4 linked regions of the Mytilus edulis genome follow. The protein of the gene in region 3 interacts with the protein of the main gene of each other region in a biochemical or structural test. Links are inferred from orthologs where the notes say so. Each region holds a gene or a part of one and is shown on either strand. Other genes may lie near its edges.

Evidence for each region.
Region 1: of the proteins of cyclin-dependent kinase 1-like (region 3) and replication protein A 70 kDa DNA-binding subunit-like, one has a biochemical effect on the other in vitro, tested with the Homo sapiens proteins (2 studies listed by BioGRID). The link is inferred for Mytilus edulis from reciprocal best matches to the Homo sapiens genes CDK1 and RPA1.
Region 2: of the proteins of cyclin-dependent kinase 1-like (region 3) and membrane-associated tyrosine- and threonine-specific cdc2-inhibitory kinase-like, one has a biochemical effect on the other in vitro, tested with the Homo sapiens proteins (2 studies listed by BioGRID and IntAct). The link is inferred for Mytilus edulis from reciprocal best matches to the Homo sapiens genes CDK1 and PKMYT1.
Region 4: of the proteins of cyclin-dependent kinase 1-like (region 3) and protein regulator of cytokinesis 1-like, one has a biochemical effect on the other in vitro, tested with the Homo sapiens proteins (2 studies listed by BioGRID). The link is inferred for Mytilus edulis from reciprocal best matches to the Homo sapiens genes CDK1 and PRC1.

The regions. Positions count from the first base shown.
Region 1 is NC_092349.1:5,677,838-5,685,696, reverse strand, and holds the start of replication protein A 70 kDa DNA-binding subunit-like, read right to left. Parts: upstream 3,004-7,859; 5' UTR 2,905-3,003; coding exon 2,872-2,904; intron 408-2,871; coding exon 360-407; intron 1-359. Other genes in the region: merlin-like, read left to right, coding at 3,215-3,322, 5,525-5,653. UniProt on the Homo sapiens protein: As part of the heterotrimeric replication protein A complex (RPA/RP-A), binds and stabilizes single-stranded DNA intermediates that form during DNA replication or upon DNA stress.
Region 2 is NC_092350.1:92,510,797-92,518,592, reverse strand, and holds the start of membrane-associated tyrosine- and threonine-specific cdc2-inhibitory kinase-like, read right to left. Parts: upstream 3,013-7,796; 5' UTR 2,890-3,012; coding exon 2,797-2,889; intron 566-2,796; coding exon 430-565; intron 1-429. UniProt on the Homo sapiens protein: Acts as a negative regulator of entry into mitosis (G2 to M transition) by phosphorylation of the CDK1 kinase specifically when CDK1 is complexed to cyclins. Mediates phosphorylation of CDK1 predominantly on 'Thr-14'. Also involved in Golgi fragmentation.
Region 3 is NC_092352.1:29,770,194-29,777,280, reverse strand, and holds the start of cyclin-dependent kinase 1-like, read right to left. Parts: upstream 3,013-7,087; 5' UTR 2,925-3,012; intron 2,443-2,924; 5' UTR 2,373-2,442; intron 80-2,372; exon of another isoform or gene 1-79. UniProt on the Homo sapiens protein: Plays a key role in the control of the eukaryotic cell cycle by modulating the centrosome cycle as well as mitotic onset; promotes G2-M transition via association with multiple interphase cyclins.
Region 4 is NC_092347.1:86,087,322-86,094,990, reverse strand, and holds the start of protein regulator of cytokinesis 1-like, read right to left. Parts: upstream 3,017-7,669; 5' UTR 2,899-3,016; coding exon 2,885-2,898; intron 1-2,884. UniProt on the Homo sapiens protein: Key regulator of cytokinesis that cross-links antiparrallel microtubules at an average distance of 35 nM. Essential for controlling the spatiotemporal formation of the midzone and successful cytokinesis.

The sequences.
Region 1 (7,859 bases), on a different chromosome or scaffold from region 3:
TAAGGGGAGACAAGTCAGAAAATTTAATGTTAATATTTATTCTAATCTTCTTATAGAAGAAATGTATATTCATGGAAAATGTGTAATAGATTAACCTATTTGACTTCCTTTTTGTTTTCTCTGGTGGATAGTTGCATTGTATCATTGGTAATCTTACCACATCTCAATTTTTTTGTAGATTTATCTAATACCTGAATATAGAACATTTTAATACATAAGAAGAGAAGTTATCAGTTGGGTTTTTTCCCACTCCCCTTTTGTAAATAATAAGACTGAGATGAAAGGGGAATGTGTCAAAGTGACAACCCGACGAAAGAGCATAAAAAAGCCTGAGACCACTAGTGTGTCTTCATACTTACAATAATCTGCAAGACAGGTCTATCAAAATTGTTTCCACCAACTATAGCCTACAAAAAGAAAACACACAAGACTTTATAAGTTATAGCACAATAGGATTTACAATTGCACGAAGGAGCTTAAGTTTATTTTTTAAGTCATTAAGATATTCATCCAAAAGTTTTCACACTGAGGAATTTTATCCAACTTGGATTGCTTTATAGAAAACAGTAAAAAATATATTGAATGACCAAAAGGCGATAAATTTTTTTGAGACATTTATTTATCTAAGTATATAAGTTTTACAGATATTGGAGTGACTGGAGTCTATGCATCATCCATGGTATAGATGATATTGTAACAAACCTAGGGTTACTATAAACTGTTTAACCATCATTCAGGAGGAGTGGAATCGACGGCAGTGTGAAGAAACAGATTTGTAATAAACATAACAATGATATTTATTTCAACAGTTTTTTGACTTCTTCTTTCAATATAATAAACATCAAATACACATTCATCATTCAACAGATAAAGCAATAAATCGGGTGGTCAATATAAAAGGTAGTTGACGGTTCAAGAGATTGATTCAGAATGACATGTGTGTCTACAGGCTCCTATTTATGTCTTTTGGCACTTACTATGACGTTAGAGTAAACATCTAATCATCCAATCAAAAGCAACGTTTCTTACGTCTTTTGGCTAGTAACGTTTAGAAAGACAAACAGATTTCGTTATTCTTAGATAAAGAAACATTATTAAGTTGTCCTCACTTTGTCCTTCTTGTCCGAATTATGTTTAAAAGCAAATGAAACTAAAAGGACATTTCTACATAATGCTATTTTTAAACGGACAGTAAATTCCTTTCTCGGTACGGCGTATGAACTTGGGTGTAATTTACATAACCTTACGCATTAGATATAATGCTTAAATAAGATCAATGAAAACCCTGTTCTATCATAAATAAAGACAATGTTAATGAAAAGGGAGGCACAAACATAATAAATACGCAAATTATCTGCATTGACAAAGTGTTAACTTAAACAAATGATAATGTGAGATCGCAAAGTGAAAGTACAAAACGGTGTCGTGGCAGATGTAAACAAGTTGAATCTCACGACGATATTTGTCAAAATAAATCACTGTATGACGGTATAATCAAAGTATTTCATAGGTAAACATTACCAAGATATACATATAAAACTGACCCTTATCGCTTGCAAAGTACAAATAGTTTAAATCATGAGTATGAAAGTCAATGCATTTATCAGTGTTTGTGCACTCGAGAGAAGTTGACCACCCGGCAATATTCAAATAAATATATGTCATATACAATAAATAATACGTTAAATAATAACAATAATAAGTCCAGATTTGTCACAATATCAACAGGATGAGCCTATTTACTTTAGCCCCCAGCACCATCTGATAATACTAGAGGTCACTCAAAACTTTAAAAAAAAACAGTGTAAGACAACACATAGACTGTCTAAATACTTTTCAATTAAGAGCAAGTATAATATGTAGACAGATTAAAGGAAGATGTGGTATGAGTGCCTAGATACATTAATATATTGTTATGCAATGATAATTTAAAAAAAATAAATTTTGTCCTTAATATAAATGTGGATATGATGCCTGAAGTCTTATATTTTCGCAACTGCATGGAGAACACTTTTTATGCAGATGCTGATATACATTTATTATATCTTTTTTATGAAACTAAAACTGTTTCAATGGCTATGGTTATCAGGGTTTTAATGCTTAGTTTTAAATTTAAACCAAACTCCTGCTTTTTACCCCCTTGTTTTAACTACGGTACATGTATAGTACTGCTTTATTTGCTGATGTATTATGTGTAACTCTTTTAATTTTGATTAAATTAATATATTAATCTGTGAAATCTAAGTCGTTTTTTTTACATTTTTCATTTTGATATTGTTTTTGAAAAACAATGCCTTTTGATGTCTTACATTTTATAAATCTTCCGCATAAACTGTGATCCATTATAATCAGTCTTTCGAAATTGTATTCATAAATTATATTATTGTTAAAATTGAAACATTCATACTTGTTTTATTACAAAAAAATTACTTGTCTAAAATTAAAAAAAAAATAATGTGCACAACTTATTTTATCAACACAAAGTTGCGCTATTTTTTCTTCCCCGGGCGCTTTTATTTACCCGGACACATTTTAGTAGGACCCATTGGGATGAATGAAATACAGCAATTATGATAAAGAAGCTTGCATCAATTAAATCAAGGACATATATGTCACATACGACTCCACAGCACAGCTGGTGTAGGCACATGTGTATCCGACATCAAGAATGTTAAATCTGACTTAAACCTAAAGTACACATCTCACCTAACGGTTAACTCTAACCATAAAGAGAAGGGACTCCCTCATCGGCGGACATCGCTTATAAGATCTATATTAAATTATACATTGTAACTGAAAGAAGGACATGATAACATAAAGTTTAAACAGGGATTGTTGAATGGTTATTCGCCTCTTCAAAATTTGATTAACCTCAATAGCACCCGATGTTAGATCTGGTGCCATTCTGTGTTGTTTTTCTGTGAAAGTGCTGTGACTGCTTTCTGCTTTATTTGCTGATGATTGCTTATTCCCGCTAAATATATAGCTTACTACGCATGCGTCAATTGTACCTCTTTTTCCGGTTTTTTAAATGCAATCATCTAAGCGCTTTACAAGAACGGTATTAGCAGTGGCTTGTAAAGCATTTCAAACTTAAATGAAAAATGAAAACATTGAATAAATGTGAAAGATGAAGATGAAAGGGATCGGTTATTCGTTTTATGAGCACCATGTAAAAGTGTTAGATTAGTCGATAGACTTATTAAACGCCGCAATGCCTTTTGTTAATATGAAAAAGGCTGCTCAGGCCTCAGGTAGCTCAAAAAGTTTTGCTGTGAAAGTGACAACAATGGATGCAGAACTTGATTTCACGACTGTGGAGGTGAATATTTCGAGCATTACTGTGTGTTATTGATTGATAAATCGTCTCTGACATGATATTTTGTAAAACTACTAAATTAGTTAAGTAATAGGAAACACATATATATCACACTGAAGTCAAATCACACATAATTTTATTTAAAAATTAGTCATTTCGTACCCAGATAGATGTTATCTGGTGTGTTCGTTCACCTGTAGAGTCTTTCACCTTCTTTCAGTTTCTGCGATCTCTGAGGCAGAGTTGTCTCCGTAGTTATTACTGAAAATTACTACTAGTCAACAATGAGGTTGTGAGTTGAACCCGGCTGGTACGGGTGTACTTATTCCAATCTTAATGGACTAGGATTGTCAGTTTTCCAATTGAAAGTCAGCGGGTTTTTCCAGGCACCTCAGCTTCTTCATCCAATAAAAACTTGCCACCACAAAATAGCTCAAAAGCTGTGTTTAAAAGTGGAGTGGTGTTAAAACATCAAGAGTTAAATCTTTCAGTTTCTAGCAATCCTTCAATTATTGAATAGTGTGTTGCCATGAGTTCGTTCTCTCTACTTTTATTGTCGAGCCTTCGACTTAAGTCGAAAAAGCGAGACTAAGCGATCATACATTCCGTCGTCGTCGGCGTCGTCCACAAATATTCACTCTGTGGTTAAAGTTTTTGAAATTTTAATAACTTTCTTAAAATATCCTCGGTTGGTACCAAACTTGGACAGAAGCTTGTTTATGATCATAAGATAGTATCCAGAAGTAGATTTTGTAAAAATAAAATTCCATTTTTTCCGTATTTTACTTATAAATGGACTTAGTTTTTCTACAGGAAAATATTACATTCACTCTGTGGTTAAGGTTTTTAAATTTTTTTTAATAACTTTCTTGAACTATCCTCGGTTGGTACCAAACTTGGACAGAAGCTTGTTTATGATCATAAGATAGTATCCAGAAGTAAATTTTGTAAAAAAAATAAATCCATTTTTCCGAATTTAAATTTTAAATGGACTTAGATTTTCTGCCAGGAAACAACACATTCACTCTGTGGTTTTTAAAATTTTAATAACTTTCTTATACTCTTTTGGATTTGTACCAAACTTGGACAGAAGCTTGTTTATGATCAAAAGCTAGTATCAGGAATGAAATTTTGTAAATGACTAAATCTATATTTTCATATTTTACTTTTAAATGGACTTAGATTTGCTGCCAGGAAACAACACATTCACTCTGTGGTTAAACTTTTTAAAATTTTAATAACTTTCTTATACATGTACTATTTTGGATTTGTTCTTAACTTGGACAGACAGAAACTTGTTTATGATCAAAAGCTAGTATCTAGAAGGAAATTTTGTTTTCTTCCAGTTAACATTACATTCAGTCTGCAGTTAAAGATTTTAAACATTTATAAGATTCATAAACTATCCTGGATTTTTACAAAACTTGGACAGAAGCTTCTTACAATCAAAAGATAGTATCAACAGGAATATTTCATTGATTTATTTCCTCATTTTTGTTGAGCCTGAGATTAACAGAAAGAGTAGGCAAGACACTGGGTTCCGCGGAACCCTTACAAATTTTTTTAATATATTTATACTAATGGCATTCAAGTTTAAGAAACTTATTCAGATATTGGTGTGGTATAAATTCTTGAAATTCACTTAAACATGTAAACACATGGACATATTGAAGCATTGATTGTTCAATGACATGCTAATAATTCTGACCCGTTCTTGTAATACTTGTCATTGCCTTTTTGGTGGATTTATAATTAAAAAGATGTTTTAAAAAATATGTCACCTGTTTTTCTATTAATACATATTAAACTTAAAATATCTACAATTTCAAGATAAAATATCTTGATTTGTTACTTCTCTATATATTTGAAGGCCCCCTTGAAGGTTTTGTAGGAGTAAATGAGCCATTTTGAACATAAAACCCACTTCGACATTTTGAAAAGTTGGCTGATATGCTTAGCAAATGAGTTGGGAAATATATATGCATACTTTAAGAAGTTTAGTAGTGGCCTCAGGATCATCAACGTTCAAAAAAGTAAAATCAATAATAAATAGGAAACAAAGATTCTTCTTTATTTCAGAATTAAAAAAAACAAACAAGCATTGACAAAATATGAAAAAAAGATACCTTAAAGTAATATAAAATAAACTTTTAATCAATGTGTAAGTACATACTAGACATACATTAAGTTTTATTCTATTTTTAGCACAAGGCTACAGGCAAAGATTTATTTGAACTGGTGTGTAGAACAATTGGTCTGAGAGAAACATGGTACTTTGGTCTGCAGTATGTTGACACGAAAGGATATATAGCATGGCTCAAATTTGATAAAAAGGTATTTTAATTAGGGCCCTGCGGAATGGCGAATGCCCTATAGTGATCATTCTGTACGTCGGTCTGTCCATAACAAATTGTGTCCACTCTATGTCTAGACAACTGTTATGATTTCAAAGTTTATACTTGACATGTATATTATACAACACCAGAGGGTGTGTCATAATTTATGTACAACTTCGTAGGTCAAAGATCATCATCAAGGTCAAAATCATCGGTTTCAGTTGACAACCCCATGTTTAATGATAAAGATACACATTTTTTACCACACATTATTCACAGCGGGCCCACAGAGATGGCTTCCATCTCAATGATATCTAGTTTGTTTTTTTCAAATTTTATGCTCTGTATCATCAAGCTAATTTACTCAATACAAAAATTTGACCAACAAGATATATTTTTAACTGAAACAATCAGCCACCTGGTATTCACTCTATCACTATTAGAATAGCAGTATATTGTGTATTGACACAAAAACATTAACATGATGAAAAGATGAACATCATGAAGATTATAGACAAGAAGTGCAGAAGTTAAATATTATTTTCATGTACATGTAACTACGATTAATTAGAACAGCCATATTATCATTTACTGTGTTCTAGCTGCAACATCTAGTTTGTGCTGCAATGAAGCTAGATTACTTTAAATTCAGAAATTCTTGCACCCATTTATTATTGCAACTTTTGAAAAGTGAACAAAAATGTAAGTTTAATTATTGCAATTTTAGGAAACGCTGCTTACAGATATATATATCTGATATCAGAATACAAGTAACTTCTAATTATTGCAGTATTAAATCAACTAGTAATGACATTATTTGCATTGATAAAAAACTTTGGCAAAAAATTCTGAATTTACAGTATATTTCTAGATAAATGTACATGTGACAGTGTTCTCCCCAGGATTTTTGGATAGCGCTGTGGTAAGCGCGTAATTTTCGACAATTCTCAGTAACTTTATTGCGGCGCGCGTTTTGTTTGTAATTGATTTGATGTGTTTTTATTATATTATGCTATTGATGTTTTCTCTTGTAATGATGTCCTCATCATGCTCATGATAGTTACAATGTACCCCTTTGTTTGTTAATGTTTTTGTCTGGATACACATGATATAGAAGAAGAGTCTTTTTTTTCCTCCATTGTAAATTCATATATTAAATCCTCATACTATCAGTGTATAAAACTGAAGGAGAAGTCTTTTTCCATGATGGGTTTACACCAGACTACCTATGTGAAGATTTCTTAGCACTAACAGGTAATGTTGCAGAACATGTAGGACCAACAATAAAGTCCTTGTCAGCTTCTGTTTGGTTTTGTAACCCACTGTAGCAGTGTACAGTTTACCGTCTTTACCTTACGACGTTTGACAGGAATTGACATTTTTTTAGCATAAAGATTTCTCATTTGTCTGACCTTAAAGTTTTATAATATTTAAATGGCCTCATCCAAGCTGAACATCGAGAAAGTGAAATTTCTCAAGTCGTATCAGCTTGGGGTTTGTTTTTCTAATCATATCCTCTCAATTGTTTTCAAATGGTAGAATTTCTGACTAAACAATTATAAGTTTGAATAGGTGATAATTAATACTTCAAAGACTTGCTCATTTTCGGGGTTCGTATGGATAGTAAACTCGGCAAATAATTTGTAACAAACCCCGGTGTTTGATCGTTTTTAGTGGAAGAAGACGTCAAGTCTTCTGAAGACTTAAGGGGCCGACCATTGGCTTTGAGTCTCCGTATGCCGCATTCATTTCGTGTATTACAATATCAAAACAACTTAGATTCCTGACACCGATTTTTACACATGATTGGGCATCTGAATCATTTAATTTGTAAATTATGATTGTAAAACAATCACTATCGTAAATATGACCCTTTTATTTATGTAAATTATTAGATTTCATCTCATCCACATGAACGTAATTTGTTTACTTGTAACAGGATGTTTTTACTGTAGATATTTGTATTACGCATGCGTGAATTTGGTATCGGTACAACTCGCCCTGTTTACAAGTTCGCCCTTGAAGTTACGAATTTGCAATCCTGCAGACAAGAAGATTTTATTTTTATATAAATAAAAAGGATATATAAAGTGTTATCTTTATTCATGGGTTTCCTTTGTCATGTGAATTAGATGCCCTTCGTAACATACATGTGAACCTCCCATTTAGGAGAAAAAACTCCCGTGTATGAAATTTTTCAGACG
Region 2 (7,796 bases), on a different chromosome or scaffold from region 3:
TTTATGTAGACCAATTTGAAAACAGGACCAATAATTTAAAATCTAAATACACGGTAAGATTCAGCATATCAAAGAACCTAAATAATTCATTGTTTTATGATTACAAACAAAGTTTAATTTTTGACCCCGATTTGTACCAACTTGAAAACTGGGCCCATAATCAAAAATCTATAAACATGTTTGGGATTCAGCATACCCTTTGGACCTTAATGTGTCCCAAATTAAAAACGGGACAAAAAAACACAGACAGATGGACAGACAAATGCAACGGTAAACCATAATATATCCTGTAAACAGGTGAATATATTAAAGCTCATCTATCAAGTGATCAGTTCAATGGGAAAGAGACACATCTTTCTTTTTTGTTCAGAACTTGTATAAATAACTTGGAGTCTGACCAATGTCTAACAAAGTTTATAGAAAGGATACATCCATTACTGTGTTGACTTCTGAATGATACAATTTGAGCTCTCTCCACTGGCCTATGAGGGAATATCCTACTAACTGGAGGTGCACTCTTCACAGGAGGTCTTGGTGGCAACGAATCTCTAGGAGTTCCCTTTGCCTGTAGAACAATATACATGGAATGTCAATGCACATTTATACAAAGTCTATTGCAACTGTGGAATCACCATAATTCATAGGATACAATTTTTATGACTTTGTGGGTAAGGCAGATTTTACAATAAGAAGGAAATATTGTTTTTTTGTATCCATCAAAAAAGCAATTGCTGAAACTGTGAAACCGACTGTGTAATGGAGTAATGCATTATGTTATTGAATAAAATGTGTCTTTCTGAGTAAATAAAAATAAAAATTACTCTGTGTTTGTGTTTTTTGTTAGAATTAGAGGGTTTTCAATTTCAAAATATTGGACATGGAATAGACATCATGACCTACTTTACTGACATCCAGCTTATTTGGAGTGGAATTTTGAAGTATTATTTATAAGTGGAGCCTAATAACATGGACTTATATTTTAATAAAAAGTCTTCTTTTGTGTTTTAATCATAACTTTAAGGCAGTTTTTTATTGGTAAAGGCTAAAAAAGGTAATTTAATAATATTGTTGCTAACGTCACGTCTTTTCCGTCCATTGTGGTATGTCACGATCGCAATTTTCTTGATGGTTCTCAGACAGCCCATTGTAGTTATTTTTATCCCGGGTTTTATAAATAATTGAAAATAGCATTCATATTACATTTGGATGACGTAAGGGGTTCAAAGGACTTGAGGAATCAATATCATTGGCTGTTTTATTTTTTGCGAACGTTACTCTCGACGTTTCCGTCCAAATCAGTGTCACGTGAGCAACATATATTTAGATCTGTAACTCTCCTGTATAGGAGTTACGATATCGCCCTTTGCAGAAATAGATTCGGAGTCAGTTCCTTCACATGATGGGGAAGCAAAGATGGGAAGTTGTATGTAATATCGTTACAAGAGGACCTTAAATGTATTCCGTCCACCAAAAAGACGTTCGCAACAAAACGTAATGTCATGATAGTAGATGTTGCTAATGTTACTATTACGAATTGGTTTCTTGTGTATTCAGTTGATATAAAGTACACCTGCAAATGACATTCTGTATATTTAGAAATTCTAAACCAGACTGTACAATTTTATTACTCCAGGCGTATATTAAACATCACTGTGTGCATACATTTTAACTTTTAAAGATGTTGTTGCTCATGTGACATGTCCAAATGTCGCTAACGTTACTCATTTTTTGGTTTCTTGTGTATTCATTTGATATAAAGTACACCTGCAAATGACATTCTGTATATTTAGAAATTCTAAACCAGACTGTACAATTTTATTACTCCAGGCATATATTAAACATCACTGTGTGCATACATTTTAACTTTTAACGATGTTGTTGCTCATGTGACATGTCCAAATGTCGCTAACGTTACTCATTTTTGTCTCTGTCACGTTAGCAACATGAAAGTAGGAGACAGAACACAATACTGTAAAATCTGCCGTAAGTAAATCATGAAATTTAAAGTTGAACCAAGTACAAATGTTCTATAAGCTTGAATACAACTTTGGAAAAACCCAGAAGTTTCCAATGACAGGTCACAGAGTTAGGGATGGCATCAAAGTTCAATGTAGGATAAAAAAAACTTAATTCATATAGTTTTTTCACTGCCCCCCACCCCACTCTTCACTTAATTTGGGAAAGATTGATTGACCAATATGATAGAAGTAAAATGGATCTTGAATTGAACAAAACTTGCAGCAATTTTTTTATCCTACATTGATCTTTTAATATCCTCCCTTATCTTCCATTTCTCTATGTTGTTGAAAAACAAAACGTTTGCCAGCTTAGTTGATTTTCGCCTGGATATTTAAATATTTAGACCTGAATAAAACATAAGCCCATTATGAGTGTTGCTGATCTGAAAATTAATGCATGCTTCTGATAAAAGAATCATTAGAAAGAAATGAGTGTCTTTGCAAGATATAGAAGCATATAATCAATTGTAATCTGCTATAAACCATGTCCCAAGAATGTTGTCAATGTTGACGTTGAGGAAATGACAAACATGAGTTTAATTATTGTGATTTTACTTTAGGGAAATCTGCGATAACAGTGATCAAGTCACATTGTGAATTTAGGAAACCTCACAATAACTTCAGAATTTAGTGATCAAATTAAGACAAAGGAAGAGACATAATTAAACAATTGTCACTTGATAAGATGTTTTTGACAATAACCTGACAAACTTAAATTAAGAGTGCTATTGCCCAGTGGCAATAGTGGCTAACACTGCATTTTTTATTTTTGGGTCACCTTTTTAGTGGAGAACGTTTGAACATCTTGGAAGAATCTTGGTGTGGGCCTTGGACTCGAAAATGCGTCCATAACGCCCTCTTTCTTAACCATAGTCGTAAAAACTTGTCATAGTTGCATGTCGAAACTCTCAAATTTTAACTGATAAACACTGCACTTTCACATCACATCATAACATTTCGCGGTATTTTGGTTATTGCAATTTGAAACGAGCACACCGATTGGACATTAAAAATGTCAAAACTTAAACCAACTAATCTAAATAAACGAACAAGCATATAAATATATAGAATACATTTCAGTATTTTAATAATATAGTTGTCTTATATATTTCAATACTGAATATCTCTTCAACAAATTTTTTTTGCGAAACAATGATTACATTTGTCTATACAAATATTTACCCAATCAACTGCTTGCTTGTCGATTGCTCTTGGCCGAAAAGTGGAAACGTGCCAAGATCTAAAAATAGTTTAGATATATTCTAAAAAGTTGACACATTGATGGATTGGAACCAATAAAGTAAGCCGCGTGGAAATTTCACTGTGACATTTTCAGACAAATTCCAAAGTACTTTTAAGTGATTAGTACTTTTGTTTAAACACTTTGTGTAAAATCTCTAAATTTTCAAACAATTTAATAGGGTTTTTACTACAGTAGGTCAAGGGGGTCAGTAAGTGGTTTTTTTTAGAAATTTAAATAAAGTGGGGGGGGGGGGGGTGTGTCAGGGAATAGAAGTTTCTTCATAATAAAAGTTCCAAAAGGAAAATATATTCTAGATATTATTTCCACGGGAATAAATATTACAGAATAAGTTCCTAACGGAATAAATGTATGGAATATTTGTTCCAACAGGCTGAGATATTATGACAATGTTTATAACAAAGTTTCCATTGGAACTTCTGTTAATAGGCGGAACAAATGATTGTTTGTTGACAGGGTCAATTTTATGTGTAATGAAAAAAATATGTTGTGAACTTTTGAATCTCAGACGGTCAAGTATATATCCTAGTATATATATATACGAGTCTAAATTGAAAACTACGTTCAAACCTATGATTGCGTTGGATAAAAACCGCAATTTTTACGTGTGCATGTAAAACAAATTTCGTTGTTGAAGGGTCTAAAAACAGCACAAACAACATATTCCAAAAGATCAAACAAGTTGCTTTCTTAAAAAAAGAAAAGCAATACATGAACCTAAGACCGCTGACTGCCGTGTCACAAAAAGATTGTTGATAAATTTGTGTTTGCTTTTGAATTGAAATAATTGCCAGTTGAAAGTATATCTTTACAGCTTCTATTTGAATAGTTATTTAAAACTCAACTATTTTATTTATTACTTGGGAATGTACATACTGTTTCCGATTATAACTCTTTGGCAAATCCTAATTTCTACTGACCGGATGATTTATGCAAATTGCACAAACCTAACACAATATAAATTTATGCACTCAGTTTGCTTTATAATCTAGAATTCTGGATGCATTTATTTTATCTATCATATCTTTATATTGTGTGCTCATGGTAGATGGTGTATGCGGTGAAATCTGTGGCATGCAATTGATTGTGACCTCTTATGAAGAGACTTATTTTGGTCTCATAAAACATCTCAAATTTTAAGGATTTCCTGATTTTACTTTAATCAATTCAAACATTATACAGGGAAACTTAGTTTTGCCGAAGAATTTCTTAATTCAGAAGTTTATGAATACCTTTACACACTTTCGAAATAACCAATTTATATAAAAAGGTATGTAGATATTAAAAGATACCAGAATTAAAATGATGTTCGCCAGACACGAATTAAGTCTACAAGAAAAGCATCAGTCACGGACGCTCGAATGAAAAAAGTTAACAGTCTAAATACAAGTACATTACAAAGTTAAGGAATCTATTCTTTGGGTAGACAATCCTTATATCTTTTCGAACAGGTCAAAGTTTATAATAGAACAGTAACTCAAAAAGAAATGAAATAGAAACAACTCGAGGTCAGAATACCGTTAGTAATGATGACCGTGCTTGAAAGTCACATGTAAAGCTCTTTCTGCAGTGTCCTGTATTTAGATAACAAAAACGAACATAAGCTTTCACGAGTGAATTTAATAGTATTGCATGCAAGTAGTATTTTAGCGCACTAAATAGTACATAGAAAGCATCTCACTGATACTCAGAAAAATCTAATAGTTGAATTCGAATGTCAAACGGTCTACATTAAATGTTTTGACTCCGGATTCATTGACATTTTATCCTGAATTTTTGAGAACGCAAACCGATAGTGTGCTTTTGAAATGTGATCTATAATGTGAATGAATCAAGACGTGTCGGATAGTTGGTCAACACAATGAATACAATTTTCAAAACCGTACCATAGTACAAGTATGTAAATGCTATAAGGTTAAACCAGGGGCGGATACAGGATTTGACGTTAGGGGGGCGCAGAATAAAATTTCGAAAATTTTTTTGAGGTTAAAATGATCAAAGTTATTGAAATATTCTTCTAGAGTGGGTGCAATGTAGATAGATATCTTGCCAAGCGAAGTGTGGCGAGAAACATTTGTGGTAAAATGAGGGAGAAATTAAAGTTTCAATCTAAAACCGCATAATTTAAATGACAATCTACATTAACCATAATTAACAAAACATCTATTAGTTTCTGTTCATTGACTACCTCTATAAATTTACCAGAAAACGGGACTGAACAAAAGTGGAATAGAAACAATTCTGAGTACACAAACTGATTCTCCATATAAAAAAAGTGAGACGAAGCAAATGACGATAGCTCATCTGACCAATATAAGGTATTGAAAACGAAAATGATTACTGGTACAATTTATTTGTCAATTCATGATACGTGTTTTTATTTTTGTTCTATTTTCGGTGGTCGTGCTAGACTTTTTACATACTGTAAAACAAACAAAAATGGCCGCTAACCACTAAAATCAAAATGAGATCCTTAAACAATTCATTGTGCTTATTTTCTTGGGATCCCATGTAATACGGTAGTACCTACGGGTTTGGGCCTTGACCGTTTATGCATGCTTCGGCAAAATTTACATGTTGCAAGTGAGAAATCGTGTATTGTCACAGAGATATTAAATAATGAGTCAAATTAACAAACTAACCTCTCGCTTGAACCATAATCTTTATCTTTCCTTAAGAAAGAATCTAACTTACACTGCTTTCTTGGTATGATGAAATAACCAACCGGTTACCCAAATAGCGGGTATGGCTCCCACCTTCTTCGTGGTAAAGTGATGTAGGGATGTTTTTGAACTTCGATTATCAAAGAAATTGTTCATTAAAACTGCAACTAGAATGTCACAATTTTTTAATTCTAACTGCTAAAAGCCTATGATATTTGTCATCAAACGCAGTACCGCTTTTGACACCTTCCTTTGAAGTGTAACATGTTTATAGAACTTAAATAAACAAAAGGTCAGTTGATTAGTAATCACGTTAAATGATTCTGTTAAATTACTGTTTTATATAGTAATACTTGTTTGAATGTTACGACAGATTGAATGCGACGACATTAGCTTTCGTCGGATACTTTATTACGTCCGGACAACCCATGCTTTGCAAATTTTAGGGGTGTGGGGGGGGGGGGGGGCACGCCCGCCACGCCCCCGCCTAAATCCGCCCCTGGTTAAACTATTAAAACAAACAAACAAAATTTGAATTGAAATTTCATAATAAACTAACGTTCCTGTTAGTATTTTTTTTTAAATCCTTTGAATATATATAATATTAATAAACACGAACGCATACCTGTCAACCTGTGACGATGAAAATGCAGGTCATGACCTGCATTGAAGAATCAAATCTCAGGTCATAACGCGTACGAACTTTTTCGAGCTGAATTTCAGTATTTATGGTACATTTTCTTATAATGTATATCAAAGATACCAAAACATCAATGCATGTTCACTTGGTTAAGTCATTTTAAATCTTATTTATTATTATTTCATTACACTTTTAAAGATTTTTATAAACTTGTGTATCACAGTCTTATTTCCATTACTTTTTGTCATCATCTAAAATTTATTTTTCAAATATTATTTGAGACTACTAGCCTTTCAACATATCATGTAGAGGTATTACATGTATGAACATTCATCCCTCAATCTTACAAGGAAATTAGACTATGATAAAATATAGTAATACAGTTAAAGCATATCTATGGTTAAAGGAAGTATAAATGTAAAAAATAATTTTCAACTTTTTTTTGAAAATTGTATAAAGGTATAAAAATAATGAAAAGTTATTTTTCAATATGTATTTGAATTTGATATTATTATGATTTAATCTTTTTCACCCATAAAGCGTAAATATTAGGAATAATTTTGAATGGTGACAAATAAGGGGAAGTAACTCTTAGTTGAAATATCTTTGTAAAACAGGGCAATTTATTTACGACCTAAAGCTAAGGTAATTGGTGTTAATCAACAGTGTGTTTGACACCAAAGCTGTCAAGTGAAGCCATGCACTTAATGGGTCACTTTAAGTTAATTTGACAGTTTACATAGCTAGATGAACTGCATGTTCATGGAATAATTACGAATTTGCCGGTATTTCAAAGGAATATTACTTATGAAAATCAATCTCAAGGCTAAGAAATACGGGTGAAATCGGGTCATTTTCGGAATTTCCGGGTTATTTCAATGACCCTGCGGGTGATCCGGGTGATCCCTCAGAATTGTGAAAATCTCGGGTCACACCCGCAGAATCCGGGTCAGTTGACAGGTATGCGAACGTCAAGTATTAACGGATGGACATTTTAATTTTCGAATGAATCTATTTTCAAGTTCAAACATTCCACTATGTGAATATATCACTATGCAAAATATAAGCAAAGGCTTCTAAATCCATACTAAAACCAAGGATTTGTATAGTAAGTCTTACTATACAAATCCTTGCTAAAACGGTATAAAATAATCAACATTATGGTCGTGATTTAATTTTATTGTGATAATCAGTCTATGGAAGGTGCGATACGA
Region 3 (7,087 bases):
CGCTCCTGCATTTAAAATATGACCAATCAAAAATTCGAATAATTTTAAAACGTTAGACCGACCAAAATTTTAGAATATACTATCGGAGTCAATTCCGGGATACTTTTTTTTCCTGAAATTTTACCTCCGTGTACAAGTATTATTCTCCTGTATAAAAGGAGCACACCCGCATTGGATAGACATTAGACATTATTAGACATTATTTTATTAAACCAATCATGGGCTCTTGTCGGGCAAGATACAAAAACATCATACAATGATTATATAAACATAAGTGAAATACACAATATTATAAGTAATACACAAATAATAAATTGATAATATGAGCAATGTAGGATATAATTAAGGTCAGAGGCATTGAGTGCAATGAGGTCGATTTAATATTAAAAGAATATGATATAAAGTTTATTAATACGGAAACAAAAAGTAAAAATAGAACCAGGAATATCTATAATACTAAAATTACGAGGTCCAATTTGTCATCCGTCATCACGTAAAAACGACGAATCAAAGAATTCAACTTTATATACAACTAATATAGTACAAAGGTGTAGATTAAAAATTACACCACTGCAGGCCCTTTTGTTTTCCACGTAATTAATATCGCCAATAATTAGGAAGTTCCGGGTCGAGTCCGATACCGATACCAATAGTATAATCACCTGTTACCTATTACCTTATCTGTACGTTCCGCATTTAACAGGCGCACCACCAAACGGTGTATTCAGGATTAATATGCTATATAAACGGGTCATAATCACAGGGTTGACACTACTAAATTGTCAAATTGTTACCTATTGTAGTATTTTAATCCGTAAGACTTTCTAAGATAACAATACAAATACTAAAAATCTGGACTAGAAATAAGTTTCAATTTGTTAGCGGGCATGACGTAAAACAGCGAATCAAAGAATTCAACTTTATTTATAACTAATATAGGACAATGCTGTTGTTTAAAAGATACTCCATTCCCGGACCTTTTGTTTTCCAAATATTTAATATTAACAACAATTGATAAGTTCCAGTTCGACGGGTTCAAACAGAAAGATTTGAAAATTGTGTATCTTATAATCGGCATGACTTTATCAGATGACAGTACTAATACTAAGATAAGGCTTGCGCATAGTTATACGTTAATTCAGTCACGGAACCGCGATATCACGGGTGTGTTCTAGTAGTATCTCATTCTGCAGTAGTTCTCCTCATGACCAGTGCACAGCAGTGCGTATTGTGCATTTTCGAACTTAATATTCCAAACTGCATGAGAAATATGAGTAAACTGCTAAAATTCAAAATAAAGACGTGCTCGAAATAGCGTGCCAAAAATTCAAAACGGCAATTTACCCGGCAGCATGAATACTGAGTAAAGTAACGGACTTCTCTTGAACTGAATTTTAATGTGCGTATTGTTATGCGTTTACTTTTCTACATTGGCTAGAGGTATAGGGGGGGGGGGGGGGTTTGAGATCTCACAAACATGTTTAACCCCGCCGCATTTTTGCGCCTGTCCCAAGTCAGGAGCCTCTGGCCTTTGTTAGTCTTGTATTATTTTAATTTTAGTTTCTTGTGTACAATTTGGAAATTAGTATGGCGTTCATTATCACTGAACTAGTATATATTTGTTTAGGGGCCAGTTGAAGGACGCCTCCGGGTGCGGGAATTTCTCGCTACATTGAAGACCTGTTGGTGACCTTCTGCTGGTTTTTTTTCTATGGTCGGGTTGTTGTCTCTTTGGCACATTCCCCATTTCCATTCTCAATTTTAAGTAAGTAAGTAAAACTTTATTTGGATTCGGCATGCCGTTTGACAAACAGTACAAACGTAATCTCTAATGAGCTTTTCACCGAATATAAAACATATGCAATTATAACAAATCAAGGATTTGTATAATACTATACAAATCCTTGAACACATAAAACAAGGCATGCAGCATGCAAAATAAATAAAAAGAAAAATTAACTCTAAGCAATAGCATATACATGTATCTTGCGAAATACCAAAACATATACTTGAAATGAATTTCTCAGGTGTATTCTTCAGTGATTCTGATGCCACTATCACCTATTTTTACTGATTTGTTTTTTATCATTTTTCTGTTTTCTTTTAGATATTTGCACCAAATGATTTTCTATTCTAAATATTTCTTGTCCATTTTTGTCTTCTTTTTTTTAATCCGTTTAAAACAAATGATTCTCCGGCTATTTGTTTTTGTGTTTTTTTCCCTTTATTTTTATTTAAATCTTTATAAACCTTTTACACTGAATTGGATGGTGAAGGTGACACGAAGAGCTCATTTTCAAAATACCGTTTTTTCCCCTCACAAATCACACTTTTAAACATCATATATTCAATTAGCATTCCATAATTATTACCTCTTAATCCCAAATCTCCACTTATTTATCTCCTTTATCTAACTTCCCCAAAACGTTTCACCCTCTAGAGCTGAGATGAAATGAAAGAGAATATGGAATAAGGAGATGTAGTGATTTCAATCCGAGACACCTATTTCCAACTAAATCAAAATTACATTGAATCACGCAATTAGAGGTTACCATACGGCCTTCAACCATCAGCAAAACGAACACCAGATTGTAAGTCCTGGTATGGTAAATTAAGAAACAATTTAAAAGAAAAAAATCCAATGGGCTAGCTTATCTATGACAAAATAATATTTTTTAAGATCAGCTACTACAGACAGCCACCAAGTTGAACGACAACAACTTAATATGTGCATGCTAGTTGCAATATGCAATATAGATTTTATTTGCTAGCAAGTAAAATATATTTAAATTATTTTACTGACCAACATCAACGACGACAACAACATTTTTTACAGATAGGGGCCTACATCTTACGCTTCCATTCTAAATTCTATAGCTATATAGTACTGTCTTAACAGATATATATTCTGTAAGTATTTTTACTCTAAATTGATAAAAATGTTTTCTGTTTCATTAAGTTGTTGGGTTACTGTCCGTGTCATCCATTAAACATGGCAATCTATCTTTTTTTCTGTGACAAAAAAACTTGATATGAGACATAAAATGGCAATATATATTAATCGATATTTCATAGTTTTTATTTCTATGTTCAGTTGTGATGTAACACTATTGTTTCAGGTAAGGGCGAACGTTGGTTCCTATTAAAACGTTTTAAACCGCTGCATTTGTTTGCACCTGTCCGCTAAGACAGGAACCTGATGTTCAGTGGTTGTCGTTTGTTGGTGTGGTTCATTCATAAGTGTTCATGACTCGTTTAAAAAAAAAAATATATAGACAAGACCGTTAATTGGTTTCTCTGTTTCAATGGTTTTCCATTAGTAATTTTTGGGGCCCTTCATAGCCTGCTGTTCGGTGAGAGCCAAGGCTTCGTGTTGAAGAACGTACTTTGACCTAGCTATAATGGTTTACTTTTCAAAAAATGAAAAAAAAGTGACTTGAATGGAGAGTTGTCTGATTGACACGCATATCACATCTGCCTATATCGATCTATATCTATTTAGGAAAGTTTCGTGAAGTCCCTTACATAGATTTACATTAACTGTCCGACTCGGTTTCCGAGGTAAATAATATAGAAGGGGGTCTCAAAATAATGTGTACGATAACTGATATTACCGTGTTCAATCTTTTTTTTTTAATGATAGGTAGAAGATTTCAAGATGCAAGATTGATCGATGTATAGAAGATGCTCTTTTTCGTTTTCAGTTGTTGAGAGATATGTTCAGAATGTAAAAACATTCACAACATTTTGTTTTGGGTCTTTTTGATTCAACTGTGTATAGTCTTGGAGAATCGGATAATATAAAAAAAAAAAGAAGCCTGTGGTATGATTACCAATGAGATAACCGTTCTCCAAAAGAGACCAAAATGACACAGAGATTAACAACTACAGGTCTCCGTACGGCCTTTAACAATGTACAAAGCCCATGCCGCATAGTCAGCTATAAAAGGCCCCGAAATGACAATGTAAAACAATTCAAACGAGAAAACTAACGGCCTTATTTATGTTTTTATTTTCAATGAACAACTTGTACATTCAATATCCACACATATATTTGTTATGTTTTGTTCCGTTGGTTTTTGTATACTGTTTTTTGTAGTTTATTTTTTTTGTTTTCTGTAATAGTGTTGTCAGTTTATTTTTCGATTTATGAATGTCCCTTTATTATCTTTCGCCTCACTTTGACTTTTCGCAATTTTTATTCCAGGAAACAAACATACGATGTGCAATACAACATATATGCTGTAAAGCGGTAACAAAGGGATTATGTTACGGATATGTATGTTTTATGTGATGAGATATTTCCGTAGATATATAATAAATAAATAAAACTTGCGTTTTTTATAATTTTGTCGTCATTGAACCAAAAACACTGAGTCTTGTCTGACTTTCAAATTAATCTAAATCCGATGATATTCGTGGCTTTCTGAAAGTATTAGATGTCTTTTAGATATGTTGATTTATATTTACGAATGAAGTCCTTGATCCGACTTTAAAATTTAGTAAATGTTTTGAATAGTTTTGTGTTATTGAAAATCCTGGTGCAATAGTTTTCAGTAATACCGATATTTCTTTCGTTAAAGTCAAATACGTAGTTACATATATCACGCCTGGTAAACCATCTAATCTCGGAAAAAAGTATTCTGGCACTTCCTGTTGAGCTTTCTGCTTCAAAATATTCAAAATAAACACAGGGTAGGTCGAATTTTCGTCGATTTACTGAAAATCAATGACATTTTTGTAAAATCGGAGAATGTCATGCCATAGATAAATAATAATTGTAACTAATATGTCTCTTCTTGGTTTAAAATATTTTAAATTGAAGTCACAATCACTTTTCTCCTACGGATTATAATGTTTACATTCTTTAAATCCGATAGAACTGCTATGATATTAATGACTTAGCAAGAAAATATGTCAATTATTTGTGTTTTTTTTAAGGCTTTACGATAACCACGTCTGTAATTTGCACAAATATTTCTTTGTCAAGCTACTCTGAGCAGAAAAATTAAAGAATATAAATAGTTGAGATATAAAGGTATTGGTTGAGTCTTTCTGTCACAATGTTGAGACTTTCTGGTTGCGCTGTACTATTCGAGTTTACCTTTTTTTTTACGGTTAACCTGATTCATGTTTTCTGTCTGTGGTAACATAAAATCTAAATACAGATACAATTTTAAGCATTGCCGATAGAAACATGCATGCCTTACAAATATAAATAACATTATTTTAACATGGTTATTTATTAATATGATTTGGATGAATTCGATTCCTAACAGACATTATTTAATGCCGAAAATGCGTACATGTATAAAGAAATAAAATAGTTAAAAACTAAACAATCGAACAGGACCCCTTGTCTAGAATAATTTTTTCGTACACACTATTTCAGGTGGTGATAATTTAAATGTGAGTAAAAGATGTCATTTTTGTCATTATAATAGTTATCACAAAAAAAATATGATTCGATTTTAAAATTGCTTTGTAAGTATTATAAGTGACGTCCAATTTAGTGTAATCACAGGTGTTGTATTGAAATAATTAAAACTTAGATGTTTGTTCACAACTGCATTCAGGGCACATCCTTAATATTTGGTAGTATTCAGCAACATTTATATTATAACCCGGGCCCCGTCACACTAGGCCGTGATCGCACTACGATCTCTAAAAAAATAATGCATTATGCTATTGACGATCGTAGTCCAGTATGGTCGTGTTACGGTCTTGATGAGGTCTTGGTGATCGTGTTGAGAGTAGCAAACTTTAAACATGTTCAAAACAATCGTGATGCGTTCTTGGCGAAATCAGGTCGCAGTTCTGTTCTAGTCGTAGATTTTTTTAGCCGTGGAACTGTCAGGATCAGTTCCAGGTTGAAGTGTGTAAATCAGTTCTAGGTAGAACTTACCAATGACCAAATCAGTTCTTGGTTAGAACTGTTCTAGCTAAAACTGTCTTAAAAGTGTCAGGAGATAGTTCCACATAACTTTTGATGAAATGAATGACTTTAATGGTTATCCATTTCTGAATATTAATTCAGTTTTCTTTTTAAATATTTTAAAACTGGATTTGACGTAGCTAAATTGTGGGAGATAGTTAGTTTGAACTCTGGCCTGGTCAACTTAAATTCTAAAAAACAAAATTGTGTGTGTCTATGCTAAACATGCGATATCTGCTAAAATAACAAATAACAAAAGTTTTTCATTTACAAAATTTGCATCCGTTAGGAGTCCGCGATGTGATGACCAAATAAAACGGACGTGTAATATGCCGAAAAATGGGGTGGAAGAGGAATAAGAAAAACAAATGTCAGAATAAAAAGCCAATAATTTTGCCTGATCATGATTAAGAAGTTGAACCAAAAATGATACTAAAGGAAACTAACATACCAATAATTGCTTTTTCTTACGCGATTTGTTTTCAATTTGTATGTATCCGTTTTATTATCAATGTTCTTTCTGTGGTACGATTGCCAATGATAACTCTCCACAAGAGACCAAAATGACACATAAAGTAACAACTCAGTAGAGGTCGCCGTACGGCCTTATAATATAAGCAAAACCCATACTGCATAGACAGCTATAAAAGGCCCCGAAATGACAATGTAAAACAATTGTAACGAGAAAACTAACGGCCTTATTAATATATATAAAAAAAATGAACGAAAAACAAATATGTTACACATAAATAAATAAATAAATTCTAGCCCTTGAGGTGTCAATTACAACATTATTGACGTTAAAGCTTCTGTGCAAAACTGCATCTCAATCGCTATAGACTTAATCTCCAGCGTTAGAACTTTAATACCAGTACTTAAAAAAACACAGCTATTTACTATTTAGACTCTATTACAACCAAAGTCCTTTTTAGAAGCTGCTGTGATAACTACAGACAAGATTAAAATGACTGTTGAAATGTCAAACAATATACGGCAAGTTTATGAATTTTGACAGTTGTACATGTAATTGATACTAAGCTACACAAGGTCATGTTTTTCTCTGACTGTTTATGACGTCTTGACACTAAATTCATTGGATGTTGGATGTGTACGGATTGATAGTTTAGTCTAAGATGCATGATTTTTTTATTA
Region 4 (7,669 bases), on a different chromosome or scaffold from region 3:
AACTGTTCGTGGATAAAATGAGTATTTATAACTGTCTTTAGATGTTTGTATTTGCCTAAATGAGTGTGGATTGCTATGTCTGGTTCTATTGTCAAGTGGGATCAAAAGATTATGTGTAGGAACTGCAACAATTTCATGAATAATTTTGTAGAAGAAAACAAGTCTGTATCGTACACGCCTAATTTCGAGTGGGTACCAATTTAGGTCTGTCATCATTTCAGTAACTGAGCTGGTGTTATGGAAGCGGTTGCATGAGAAGCGTGCTGCTCTTCTCTGAACCTTTTCAATTTGTAGAGTTTGTTGTTTTTGATGTGGGTTCCAAATTGTTGAGCAGTACTCTAATTTTGGTCGGACAAGAGCTTTATATGCATGAGCTTTAACTTTCGGTGATGCTATTTTTAGGTTTCTACGAATAAATCCAAGGGACTGGTTTGCTTTTGATGTCATGTTATCTATATGTTTGTCCCATTTTAAATTTGATTGAAGAGTTAGGCCTAAATATTTTGTAGAGTCAACTTTTTCTAAAGAGTGATTGTGTAATTTATAGGTAAAGTCTAAAGGTTTGCGTTTTTGGGTTACACTGAGAATGTTGCACTTATCAGGGTGAAAATGCATGAGCCAGTCCTGCTCCCACCTGCCGGCCGCTTCTAAGTCAGACTGTAATTTAAATGTGTCATCTGTTTTTTTAATTTCCCTATAAATAATGCTGTCATCTGCAAACAATCTTAATGTACTGTGTTCAATATATTCTGCCAAATCATTAATGAAGATTAAAAATAAAATTGGACCAAGCACTGTGCCTTGAGGTACCCCAGATGTTATAGGAATTTTGTTTGATGTTTCACCTTCAAGGACTACTGTTTGTGTTCTGTTTGTTAAGAAATCTTGAATCCAATAATATGCATTACAATTTATACCATAGAAACCAATTTTATACATGAGGTGGTGGTGTGAAACTTTATCAAATGCTTTTGCAAAATCCATTATTATGATGTCTATTTGGATGTTTTTATTATTTGAATTTGCAAGATCTTGAATAAATGATATAAGCTGAGTTTCACAGGAGCGGGAGGATCGAAAACCATGTTGTAATTCATATAGTATTTTATTTTTTTCCAGATGTTTCATAATGCTACTAGCTACAACATGTTCTAATAGTTTGCAGCAGATGCAAGTCAATGATATTGGGCGATAGTTTATGGGATCGTGTTTGTCGCCTTTTTTAAATGCTGGACATACACTTGCGTGACGCCAGTCATCTGGGATCTTTCCAGAGTTCAGTGATGTTTGAAATATGATGGATAAGATGGGAGAGATAGATGATTTACACTCTTTTAAAATTTTACCATGGATGAGATCAGGCCCAGCTGCTTTGTTGATGTTAATGTTATTTAGAAGTTTTTCTATGCCGTGTTTTTGTATCTTAATATCAGGCATCTGTGGATGTTTACTGACGCCCTTGTCTGGTATTGGGTCATCTGTTACAGGTGTAAATGCTTTTTCGAACTGTTCATTTAAAATATTAGCTTTTGCTTTCGAGTCAGATGTTAGTGAGCCCTCTTTTCGGAGTGGTGGTATGTTTGAGCTTTCAGACTTTTGTGTTTTTATGTAACTGAACAGATTTTTTGGGAAGCTCTTTGATATCGTTGTAGGGTTTTCATCAACTGGTATCCCACATATCATATTTTCAATATAATTCCAATAAGATGTTCTTTGTTGTTTTTGTATATCATGTTTCAATTTTTTAAGTTGGTCTAGTTTCCCTTTGCCTTTTAATTTGTACTTTTGATATTTTTTCTTGTACTTTTTCATTTGCCGTCTAATACTGTCTGTTATCCAAGGTAAATTTTTACTATTTCTCATCATTTTCTGTGGTATGTTCTCAGTGATAGTGTTTTGTAATGAGTTTTTGAATATTAACCAAAGTGTGTTTGTATCTTCACTATCTTTTTTATGTATGATCTTTTGATATATTTTGTCTATATCCTCTTTTATTTTTTGCCAATTTGCATTTTTATATTTATATACTTTCCGTGGCTTGGTTTGGCATCTTTTTAGTGATAGTAAACATTCTAAATATACAATATCATGGTCTGCCTCCCCTAGTGGTGGTATGGTTTCAGTTTTTTCAATGATGGCTGGATAATTTGTTAACACAAGATCTAAAATTTTATCATTTCGAGTTGGTATGTTTACAACTTGTGCTAATGAATGGTCATTTATCATATCTAAAAATTGTTGATGTTGTTTTTGGTTTGGTTTTCCAGGGATGACACTTGTTGTTTCCCAATTGATGTTTCCTAAATTAAAGTCCCCACCAATAATTATGGCTGACTTTGAGTTTACATTTATTCTACTTATGGATTCATTTAGTAAATCTAAAGATGTATCATCATCTGGCTGGGGTCGATAATAAGCACATATATAACATTTACGTGCATTTGATATCAATAATTCTACCCATATCATTTCACATCCTGTGTCTAGTTCTTTGATTTCTGTACATAAATAATTATTTGATATAGCTATGAGTACACCTCCATGACATTGTCCTTTTTTATTTGGTGGTCTATCTTTTCTAAATACTGTGTAATGATCTTTTGAAAAATATTCATAAGATGATGTTTTAGAGTCTAACCAGGTTTCAGTGCCAATTATAATATCAGGCTGTGTGGTATCAATCAAAATATCAACTTCTGGTTTTTTGTTCTTAATAGACTGGAAGTTAATGTTTACTATTTTTAAAGGTCTGAGTAACTTATTTTGAGTATTTATACCTTTTTTGTTTTGTTTTCTGATGTCCTTTTGTGATTGATCTTGGATTCATATTTACATTTTATAATACTAGTGGAATGATTAAACGTGTGTGTGATGTACAACTTACGATGGGGATGACATTTTTGCTCAAAAATTACATTCGACGATATTCAAAACATATTTCAATGGCGCTTCTTGGTTTAAATTCGCTTTTTATGTTACGGTGTTTTTGATTGGCCCATCAAGTTGATTCGACAACAGCGATTAGTCAAACTAAGGGAAGTAATTTAAGAAACTGGTTTCTTAAAATCTAAAGAAAAGTTACCAGTCTCACTCGGAGTTCAATCGTAAATACTCGGCCTGTTCCGACACGCCTGCATTGCAACCGGAACTACTCGGCCTTTCTGGTTGCACGAAGTTATTGTGCTGCATAGCGAGAATGGCCGAGTAGTTTCGATTGGCCTACATTGCGTAGCGAGTTGTTACGATTAATTCGGAGTTTATATGTGGGTCTGGCTGGGGTCTGCATAATAATGGCCAAAATAACATAGTTAGAAAAATGAAAAAAAAATAAAGGGTGCAGAAATAGAAAGTAAAAAGATAGAAAGTAAAAAAGAAATAAAAGAAATTGTAAGCATGATTACCGCAGTCTCCTTTTTATAACAGGCTATCGTGGGCCTCATCATATTCAGATATAATTTAATTTTGGATGAAACGTGTCTTCTGATTGGCTTACGTCGTTTTGTTTATCAGCCCATAGACATAATTTTGTCATGTGACCGTGACGTCATCAACGTTTTTTTTATGATTTACTCATGTTTAAAATGGATATTAACTCAGAATTATAGGGAGAACATATTTCGGAGACAAGTGCCGAAGATGATTACACAAATGAACGATAGAGCCTACAGTTTAAAGAAGTCATTTTATTACATAGCAATATAATAGTTCCCACAGAAAAATATATTCCCCAATATTCATGCAAAAACCCTATATTATTGCAGAAAGATAATATTAACATAATTTTCATCAGAATTTTACAGAATAAGCGTTCAAAATATCACGTTAAAGAACATTGAAACTACAGGCCATATGGCCTCTTACTTATGTGTTTATTTTTCAGCATCATCATTAGTTGTTGTGGGGGATCTTGGGTGTGCAGCTGGTCTCTACTTAAAAAAAAAATTAAAACGGTATCGTCTATCAAAGGCATATTTTAGAATTCATTTGCTCCTTAGTATATCATAAGTTCATTGTGTCATGATTTTTTGCATTGGACTGACACATTAGTTTCTATCAGTGTATTCGTCCAAGTAGAGACATTCTAACAAATGGTACAAGCAAACAGAAATAGTATGAAAGCTTTTTCAACGGTTGCATTGTATTATATTAATGACTGCTGACAGATATTACGGACTTGATTAGCCGGATCAACGAAAAATCTGTAATAATCAGACTTTTTAAAATTTTATAACTACATTAAATGCCGCTGTACAGATTAATATATGGTATTAAAATTTTGAACTTGTTGCCTTTTGTTGGCTGTTGTTCGTGTTATTCTTTGTCAATTGTGTTCTCCAATTTATTTATATTGTAGTCCTGTGTTGTCATTTTGATGTTATATTTCACATGGCCATAAAAGTGCGAGGTTTGGCATGCCACAAAACCAGGTTCAACCCACCATTTTTTCCTTTAAAAATGCCCTGTACCAAGTCAGGAATATGGTCATTGTTATATTATAGTTCGTTTCTGTGTGTATTACATTATAACGTTATGTCGTTTGTTTTCTCTTATTTTTGAGTGTAAATTCACATTGCGATAAGACGTGTCACGGTACTTGTCTATCCTAAATTCATGTATTTGGTTTTGATGTTATATATATATGTTATATTTGTTATTCTCGTGGGATTTTGTCTATATGTGTTACATTTTAGTGTTATGTCGTTGTTCTCCTCTTATATTTAATGCGTTTCCCTCGGTTTTAGTTTGTTATCCCGATTTTGTTTTTTGTCCATGGATTTATGAGTTTTGAACAGCGGTATACTACTGTTGCCTTTATTTATACCTTAACAATTGTAAAAATGTAACTTTTTGACAAAAAAACGAGAAAGTTTCACATGAAACAGTTAGTATATAAGGAAAGCCCAATAGGTATTTGAAGATTGTTTTTCTTTCATACCGGGGACTACAGCTTGCGCATTATGCCTTCTTTTATTATTTTAGTTAAAGAACTAGAGTGAAGGCCTACTTGTGAAAGATGTTGAGTGTCAGGATAATTCAAGTCTGGTAAAAAAAAAAGTTACACTTACAATATAAATTCGAATAAAGGGATATTCTTTGAGTGGAACATGATCATCAACCAAATGACACCAATGACGATACGGCACCTAGATGTCAACATACAGTTTTAATGAAGACACGCCAGCCAGGTGTCATACAATATAGCATATGCCCAACAACCTCTTTTATTCATAGTTAAGTATGTTTGGCGAGACGAATAACTTTACACTGTTTATATAATCATTAGATATTATCGTATTGTCTGCCATGAAACTTTCTGCCAAAGGGTAGGAGTTGTCATTGTGATCTCTCTTCATAACACCAACGAATTAACGTCCAATTAGTTATTGTAGAATCTTTGGATTTTAAAGTGTAACTTCAATTACATGTGGTAGGATAATCTCAGGCTTTCTGGATAACCAATTTTATAACTTTTACCAAAACATATATGTAATTGGAAGATTATAGTATATTATATGCATAATACATGTTCCATATTTAACTTATTATTTAAACACACATGGATTTTCCATATCCATAAAGCACCAAAGTTTGTCTTGAAATTGGAAGTATCCTTGGTTGTTGTATAAAAAAGAAGATGTGGTATGATTGCCAACGAGACAACTGTCCACAAGAGACCAAAATGACACAGACATTAACAACTATAGGTCACCGTACGGCCTTCAAAAATGAGCGAAGCCCATACCGCATAGTCATCTATAAAAGGCCCCGATATGACAATGTAAAACCATTCAAACGAGAAAACTAACGGCCTTATTTAAGTACAAAAAATGAACGAAAAACAAATATGTAACAAATAAACAAACGACAACCACTGAATTACAGGCTTCTGACTTGGGACAGGCACATACATAAATAATGTGGCGGGGTTAAACATGTTAGCGGGATCCCAACCCTCCCCTAACTTGTGACAGTGGTATAACAGTATATATACAACATATATAAGAAGTTTCAACTTGTTTGCTTTTCTTTAAACTCTGAGTGTGTTGTGCATACCCGTATCAACTAAAACAAATATATAGCTTTCGATGCAATAAACGCAATATATTTCATATATTAAATAGATATAAGAAGATGTGGCATTAGTGCCAATGAGACATCTCTCCACCCGAGTCACAATTTATAGAACTAAACTTGGGCCATTATAGGTCAAAGTACGGTCTTCAAACAATGTTTTAGATTTTAACGAGAGAAATTTATGTATTACTGAAAAATTATTACACCAGGGTTTTCGATATCACAAATTAGTCAAAATATTTACTAAATTTTATCATCGGTATAAGACCATCATTCGTAAATATAGCTAAACATGCAGACTTCTTATACGTTCAGGTATTTCACATCCAATTTTTTATGGAAATATTCTTTATAAAGCACAAAAATGTCAGTATTCACCTCAGAAGCTAACAAAACCTTGAAATAGACTTATTAAGAAGGGATATAGTTACGATACTGTTGTCAGGTCATTAAAGATTGCATATTTTGGCGTTTATATTGATTCACTTATAGGGTCTTTGCATCGGAATTAAACACATTCATTTAAAAACCAGTTGTTGGCATGACACGGGTTATGTTCTTCTCATATATGTTATGATGGTATGATGCTAAATCCCCAACGGGAAGGATTGTACCTGATATTCATTTGATGAAGACATAATCTTTCAATCAGTTTAATTGAAGTCTGGAGCTGGCATGTCAGTTAACTGCTAGTAGTCTGATGTTATTCATGTATTATTCACAAACATGTTTAACCCCGCCGCATTTTTGCGCCTGTCCCAAGTCAGGAGCCTCTGGCCTTTGTTAGTCTTGTATTATTTTAATTTTAGTTTCTTGTGTACAATTTGGAAATTAGTATGGCGTTCATTATCACTGGACTAGTATATATTTGTTTATGGGCCAGCTGAAGGACGCCTCCGGGTGCGGGAATTTCTCGCTACATTGGAGACCTGTTGGTGACCATCTGCTGTTGTTTTTTATTTGGTCGGGTTGTTGTCTCTTTGACACATTCCCCATTTCCATTCTCAATTTTATTATTGTCATTTTGTTTATTTTCTTACCTTCTGACATCAGACTCGGACTTCTCTTTAACTGAATTTTAATGTGCGTATTGTTATGCGTTTACTTTTCTACATTGGCTAGAGGTATAGGGGAGGGTTGAGATCTCATAAACATATTTAACCCCGCCGCATTTTTTGCGCCTGTCCCAAGTCAGGAGCCTCTGCATGGCCTTTGTTAGTCTTCTATTATTTTTAATTTTAGTTTCTTGTGTACAATTTGGTGTTTAGTATGGCGTTCATTATCACTGAACTAGTATATATATATTGTTTAGGGGTCAGCTGAAGGACGCCTCCGGGTGCTGGAATTTTTCGCTGCATTGCCATACCTGTTGGTGACCTTCTGCTGGTGTCTGTTCTTCTATGGTCGGGTTGTTGTCTCTTTGACACATTCCCCATTTCCAATCTCAATTTTATTCAACACGGAGCCTTGGCTCACATTTAAAGGGGCCCACAAATTATACTAGTGTAAAACCATTCAAACGGGATAACCAACGGCCTAGTCTGTATAAAAGTCGAGAAACGAGAAACAAAAGTTTATATTATATATTTTGGCT